Linked DNA regions of Xenopus tropicalis. The main gene of each other region encodes a partner of the protein of the gene in region 2 in a complex. Links are inferred from orthologs where the notes say so. Each region holds a gene or a part of one and is shown on either strand. Other genes may lie near its edges. The genes, in order: pigy and pigp.

Region 1 (4,473 bases), on a different chromosome or scaffold from region 2:
GCAGAAGGCTGTAAAAACACAAGCTTGCTGTACTGGTGCATCCATTTGGGAAATCCTCTTCCACTGAGGCAGAGTATAATAACCCTGTCAAAGACACCAGAGGAATGAGCACAGTCAGCACAGGGAGGGAGAAAAACATGGCTTCTTTATTGTTTGCAGGAACAAATCCAAAAAACTATGTTGTCTGCTCTGTGTCTGGGCTCTCAGGCTTCTGATCTTTATGAATCATGCGGGCATCCTGTGGTATCATATTTGGGATGCCATCAACAATTGGGTAAGCTATACCCAGCTCGTCATTAATTAACTCATTGGTAGATTCTTCATATCTAGGGAAAAAAAATGACATATAAACAATCAGATCTGGATCAATGAATGGGGAATCACAGCCGTTTATATTTAATGTCGGGAAATTTGATCACCAAAATCAGTACATTTCAAACCACAAGCGTCATTCCATAATCAATATTATATATATATATATATATATATATCGAGCCAAGGGTGGCACACCGCTTCAATCCTTGTCCCGGGTGCACGGTAAAAGAGTTTAAATATTGAAAAAAAGACCAGCAACACCGGATCTATTGCAAACAATCGATTATATATTGAAAAATACATGAACAGCCAACGTTACGTTTCGGTCCCCGTCGGGACCTTTCTCAAGACCGAAACGTAACGTTGGCTGTTCATGTATTTTTCAATATATAATTGATTGTTTGCAATAGATCCGGTGTTGCTGGTCTTTTTTTCAATATATATATATATATATATATATATATATATATATATATATATATAATATATATAAAATGCATTTAGGAGTTCTAGTTAAGCTTGAAATAGCAAAGAGACATCTGCTTGCTGTTAATAAACTGAATATTTCCCTATACAGAGTACAGGCTTAGGTGTATGGGACACCCTGTTCCCCTGCTGACCTGACTGACTACTTTGAGACTCAAATAAAATGCAGTAGACTGTCCTCAGCCTGCCTTCTCCAGTTACCACAATTCCCCGCACATATAATAAGGAATAGGGAAAATAACATCACTGGGCAATGCATTGTGGGTAATGTAGTTTCTGAGTGCTGTCTGTAAGATGTGGAGAAGTTGTTACAATTTGTAACATCAGTGTTTTAGTCCCTCTTCTTTAATCCTCTTCCCAGGATTTTAAATAATGCAGAAAGAAGGTTAGAAGGTTTAGCAGAAAGAAACAGTTTACAGTGCTAGGTATATTAGGGGTTTCTGTGTTGGGCTCTTTAACAAATTTTGGTTCATAAACTGTAGTTCCCCTTTCAATAAAAATAAGCAGCGATATTTTCAATATAAGCCCTAACATTTGGCTAATGGTTAATATCAATATAGTCTTTCTAAAGGGTAATTAATTAGAAATTATAAATAGAACAATACGTGGCTATAACTTTAAGTCAGAGAAACCCAAGTCTGATGGGACACTTTGCTCAAACTAGGGGCAGCCCAGCACTGCAGGGGGCAGTATCCTTGTATTGTAGCCCGCACCTCTGGGGGGAAGCAATGCTTAGGATCATAGGTGATCTTAATGACCCCCCCACCCAGCAGCAGTATACTGACTGTATCAGAGCCCTTTAACCCAGTGCCAGGTATTTTACCTCAGCGATTTCCTTGAGAGAGGGCAGACCAGGAATTGCAAGAGGGTAGGATCAAACGTCTTGCTGTCCTTCAGGCTCTGTTCCGGGGATCTGGCAACTAAAGAGCAGTGCAAGGGCCGCAGTGTGACAGCTGGCAGGGCGCCAGTGGGACAGGCAGCGTTTAGTTTCCGCTGGACTAAGGTATTATATGTTCTTCCCCATGCCCTGACAGCCAGCATGTTCCACTTTCTGCACAGAAACTGACTGACACACAACCTTTACTTCCCAGGAACGATTCCACCCCTTCTTCCTGTGCAGCACTATAAACAGCCCCTCACACGACACAAAGCAGTCTCAGTGGTTCCTACCATGTGCATGTAACTATATAAACCCACAGCCTGCAAAACCCTCAAAATATATCTGAAAGAGTTGTGATTAAAGTCTTTCTGTAATGTTAAACTACCTTTACTTGATATTATTGCTTGAATCTGGTTTGCCCTTTGATTCCTGCGATCACAGATATGTAACCCATTCACTGCCAGGCGATTTTTCCTTCTGTATTTGTGTTAAACCAGGTACCAGCCCACATTGCCTGACAGGTGGTAGCAATTTAATTTCTAACAGTGCTCAAAATAAGTTATAGGTAAACAGGAATACAGTAACAGTATTCCTGTTAAAAGCAAAAAGCTTTGTTCACTGTGGAATCCTATGGAATTAAGATGTTGTACTGTGTTAGCCATTAAAAACAATGCAGAAAATCTGATACCTTTTATTGGCTGAGTAAGAAAAATTGCAAGCTGTCCAAGCAGGGTCGGACTGGGCCGCTGGGACACCGGGAAAAGTGGGCCCTGGCGGCCCAGACCCGACCCTTGCCGATGCTCCCCCTGCCCGAGTGCTCCTCCCCTGACGTGTTAAATTTACACGCTCGGGGGAGGATGTCAGGTGGGGGGCCCTGCACGGGCACCTACAAGGCCCCTGGGGCGGGAGCCCCAGTGGGCCCTTCACTCCGCAGTCTGACCCTGTGTTGAAGCACCCAGGCCCCTTCGTCAGGCAAAATACAAATGAAAGCTGGAAAGGCACAGCATATATATAGATCATTGAAAAGGTTCATGGGCAATAAATTGAGAACCCTATAGGACACAGAAACAGGGTCGGGCTGGGGGGTGCAGGGCTCACTGGGGCTTCTGCCTCAGGAACCCCAGCCCCCCCCAACCCCTGCAGAGGCCCCAAACACCCTCCGACCATGCTTCTAAAAGAAACTTACCTGCGGTATGTTGGGGGAGGGTGACGGTGGATCGCGGGAGAGCCCTGGGGGAGGGGATCTGGCCCGCCGGGGACCAACAGGTTTTTTTCCCAGTACCCCAGCAGCCCAGTCTGATACTGCACTGAACAGGTTGCGGGTAGTATAGAATGCTGCAGCACAAAGAATCACAGAGTAGGGAGTAGACAAGGTAGAAAGCTACAGCATGGATAAAACAGGGAGGAAGTCAGGGGGAGTATGGAGCTAGTCGGATGGGGTATGTGACAGGTAGGGAGCTGGGGGGGGGCTTCTGTGGTGGGGAGGGAGTTGAACACACACAGATATCTTAAAATGGACACTAGATAAAGATTGTTCTGTCTGCTGCAATTTCCTGTGCACAGGGACATTTTACATTGCTGTGGCTGGATCTTATCTTCCTTATTTTCCATACAAGTTCAGTTCTTCTTCTGACAAACTTTGGGGGCGATTATTCTGAGACCACACACGGTCCAAAAATTGTTTGAGACTAGGTTTTGTATGATTTTATTGATGTGTGTATGGCCAGTTTGTTCTAAGCCAGCAGTAATTAAAACAACATGGCAGCAGGCTAACCGGCTGCAAGGGGTATTTGATCATTAGGGGAGCTGGTTGTCATGAGTGTGCATAGAGAAGCTGGTGAATTACTGTTAGTGTTGCCACCTTTTCTACAAAAAATACCATTCCTTCTCTTGTTGGTAGCTATCTTGTCTATTAGTACTGTTGGAATCAAATTTCAGTTTTATTGGTCAGGCCTGTAAAATAACTGCTGGGAGGCAACTCTATTCATTATATGTCAGGTAGTGGATAGAAAGTAGGGACGCACCGAATCCAGGATTTGGCCAAGATTATGCTTTTTTCGGCTCCTGGCAGAACTGAATCCGAATCTTAAAAATCACGTGACTTTTTGTCACATAAACACGGAAGTTAGAAATTTAACCCTTCCGTATCCTAATTAGCATATGCTAAAAAAAAAGTGCATTCGGTGCATCCCTAATAGAAAGCCAGCGCGCCCTGGGTGGCTTGACTGTTTTCTGGGTTAGGTGGAGTTTAGGGACCTATTTGGTTAGGACAATCCGATGTGGTTGAATTAACAGAACACTAGGGAGCTGTTTTGGTCCTGCACTAATATTTTTCCTTCAACTCAAGCTATCCCAAGAAAGAATAGTAACGCAGTTATATGCACAGACTAAGGGGAGGATAGGGCCAGCAAGCTACTTGTCAGCAAATTGGGAGATAAGGTCAGAGTCTGTAGCCTGAACAGAATCTGATCTAAAAGGGCAGAAGTCTTTTGAGCACCTCATTGTTAAATGTCCCTCATTAGTAAAAGCCAGTAACTAGCAAGGGATTTTTCAGGAATGACTTTTCTATTTAATTAAGCTACCCCTTAAATAGGGAAACAGTTTCAGGCACAAACATATGGGAGGCTAGGGCTAGCAAGCTTTTGGGGCAGCAAAACGGGAGGTAGGGCTTAAGTCTGTAGCTTGAACCAAATTCCATTTAAAAGGAAATAAGCTTTAAAGTGCACCTATCATCCTCTCATTTTTCCCCTGTAACCTATTTTTGGCACACTTCTGCAGAAATTGGATTACAC
Region 2 (2,990 bases):
AGCAAAACAACCCCAGACCATCACACTACCACCACCATATTTTACTGTTGGTATGATGTTCTTTTTCTGAAATGCTGTGTTACTTTTACGCCAGATGTAACGGGACACGCACCTTCCAAAAAGTTCAACTTTTGTCTCGTCGGTCCACAAGGTATTTTCCCAAAAGTCTTGGCAATCATTGAGATGTTTTTTAGCAAATTGAGACGAGCCATAATGTTCTTTTTGCTTAAAAGTGGTTTGCGCCTTGGAAATCTGCCATGCAGGCCGTTTTTGCCCAGTCTCTTTCTTATGGTGGAGTCGTGAACACTGACCTTAATTGAGGCAAGTGAGGCCTGCAGTTCTTTAGATGTTGTCCTGGGGTCTTTTGTGGCCTCTCGGATGAGTTGTCTCTGCGCTCTTGGGGTAATTTTGGTCGGCCGGCCACTCCTGGGAAGGTTCACCACTGTTCCATGTTTTTGCCATTTGTGGATAATGGCTCTCACTGTGGTTCGCTGGAGTCCCAAAGCTTTAGAAATGGTTTTATAACCTTTACCAGACTGACAGATCTCAATTACTTTTGTTCTCATTTGTTCCTGAATTTCTTTGGATCTTGGCATGATGTCTAGCTTTTGAGGTGCTTTTGGTCTACTTCTCTGTGTCAGGTAGCTCCTATTTAAGTGATTTCTTGATTGAAACAGGTGTGGCAGTAATCAGGCCTGGGGGTGACTACAGAAATTGATATTGAAATTGAAAATTGAAATTGATAAACCACAGTTAAGTTATTTTTTAACAAGGGGGGCAATCACTTTTTCACACAGGGCCATGTAGATTTGGAGTTTTTTTTCTCCCTTAATAACGTGAACCTTCATTTAAAAACTGCATTTTGTGTTCAATTATGTTATCTTTGACTAATAGTTAACGGTTTTTGATGAGCAGAAACATTTTGTGTGACAAACATGCAAAAGAATAAGAAATCAGGAAGGGGGCAAATAGTTTTTCACACCACTGTATATATATATATATATATATATTCTGTAAATAACCTCCCTTGGTGCTACATTGTCAGCCCAAGGATTGCAATGCATGCTGGGTATACAGACTGAAAGCAGCCACTAGATTGGCCAATATCCTAGTGCAGTTTATTGCAGTTATGGGCAACCTCAAGAACTCCCAGTGCCGCTCAGAGCTAATAGATGATCAGCGGTACCTGTTCTTTCAGTGCCACTGAGTGTTGTAATTTGTAAATTTTTACCACAATTTCCAGACTCTTATGCCAAAAATCAGCAAGAGAAGGCGTGCCAAGAGGATGCCATCCCAGCACTGAGGGACATTTCCATCAGCGAGGTTAATAAAATGTTCTTCCTCACTGAGAGATGATGCCGGAAGATCCTTCGGACCCACAAAACCCCATTCTTTATGATAATTCATGTAGCTATATATTTCTGGACTGTGTTTTATTTATTTATTTTTTTACTTGGGCCCCATAAACCAATGGGTGCAAGTGTTTTATTTAGAGGTGCAAATGCGCAGACTTGGAGATGTGGGAACAGCAGATTCTGCAGAGGTCTATGCTCCCAGTCACATTTATACTGTGCTGCCACTTCACTTGCTATATAAAAAAAAAAGCAGTTTACCTTGAAATTCACTTTTATTGGAATTCTAAGACAGTTTGCAATTAGTGATTATTTAATATTTGTCATTTTGAAAACCCATACAAACCATTTTTTGCTCTGCAACACTGAGGCTTGGAATTTCAGCTGCTATCTGGTTGCTAGTGCTCAATGATCTTAGCAACCAATTAGCAGTTTAAAAATCAGTATGATGGAAGATCAATAGGAGAGAGCTAGAAAAGAAAGATAAACATCTAAAAATAAGAGCAGTAAAATTAGGGTTGTTGCCTTTTCTGGAAAAACAAATGCTGGCTTTCCTAGATTTTTTATGTTTTTTTCCTATTAAAACTTTGAGCATTTTTTTTACTGGCCAGGTGGCCACCCCAAATACAATTGAACCCTCCAAATTGATTTCTTTTTCTGGTTGGTGGGGTCAGAGATGGCAAACTAGATAGGTTTCTCTGTGACAAGCTATACCAAATAACTAATAGAGACTAGTTACAAATTTGCTCAGAATGGATCCATACTGAATGCTAATATAAAGGTGGACTTTCCCTTTAAGTTTTTCCTGTATGATCAGAGAAGCTGCCGTGCCTTTTATCCCTTTCGTTATAGTATTGTCATTTGCACTGTATATACAAACATGAGGCCTGCTATTTGTATTTCAACACACTTGGTTTTATTCAAAATCCATTAAAGCAACACTGTGCTACATAGCAAACGAGAATGTTTATGATTTATATGTACATGATATTCTAAAGGGGTTTAATAACTGGGTGGGACTGGCCTGGCCAGGTACGATTCTGCACCCTGAAGCAGCCTTTCCAATGCCACCAACCATGCTTACCTTTCAGAGATTAAAAAATGGAATTTCAGGGTCCTAAAGATTCTCACCCTCAGAGGTAGGCCAAATGGTGCGGGCACCCTAGGGGGCCCCAATCCCCTCAGTGCACGCATATGTGCTTTGATAAGTGGGTGGGACATGCAGTGACAAGTGCAGGTGGGGCAAGAGAGCTCAGACTAGGTGTAGGCAGAAGAGGTACCTACCTAGTGCCCCTTACTGTTGCACCCTAGGCACGTGCCTTTTCTGCCTCCCCCTAGTTCTGGCAGTGTCCATGGGCCTGCCAGAATACCAGAAGAACCCCCAGCCGGCCCCCCACATCGGCTCATTGATGCGTTCCCTTATCCGATGGAATCTGGCCCTAGGGCCGTAAGATCAAATTAGCCTAATATCTCCCACATATCGGGAGAAGATCCGCTCGCTTGGCGACCTCACCAAACAAGCGAATCGTCCCGTGTATGGCCACCATACCTCTATGGCTCTGCGCATCAGAATCAGTGAGCAGAGAGGTGGGGTTGGCTAGCAGATGACGGCTGGGGGCTTGCCCATTGCATTTGGCC

Evidence for each region.
Region 1: pigp (region 2) and pigy share a complex: the UniProt entries of both Homo sapiens proteins name them as parts of the glycosylphosphatidylinositol-N-acetylglucosaminyltransferase (GPI-GnT) complex. The link is inferred for Xenopus tropicalis from reciprocal best matches to the Homo sapiens genes PIGP and PIGY.

What each region holds. Positions count from the first base shown.
Region 1 is NC_030677.2:67,794,052-67,798,524, forward strand, and holds the start of pigy (phosphatidylinositol N-acetylglucosaminyltransferase subunit Y precursor), read right to left. Parts: upstream 3,066-4,473; 5' UTR 2,868-3,065; intron 1,886-2,867; exon of another isoform or gene 1,843-1,885; coding exon of another isoform or gene 1,625-1,842; intron 327-1,624; coding exon of another isoform or gene 176-326; 5' UTR 140-175; coding exon 1-139. UniProt on the Homo sapiens protein: Part of the glycosylphosphatidylinositol-N-acetylglucosaminyltransferase (GPI-GnT) complex that catalyzes the transfer of N-acetylglucosamine from UDP-N-acetylglucosamine to phosphatidylinositol and participates in the first step of GPI biosynthesis.
Region 2 is NC_030678.2:12,650,676-12,653,665, forward strand, and holds the end of pigp (phosphatidylinositol N-acetylglucosaminyltransferase subunit P), read left to right. Parts: intron 1-1,243; coding exon 1,244-1,356; 3' UTR 1,357-2,305; downstream 2,306-2,990. UniProt on the Homo sapiens protein: Part of the glycosylphosphatidylinositol-N-acetylglucosaminyltransferase (GPI-GnT) complex that catalyzes the transfer of N-acetylglucosamine from UDP-N-acetylglucosamine to phosphatidylinositol and participates in the first step of GPI biosynthesis.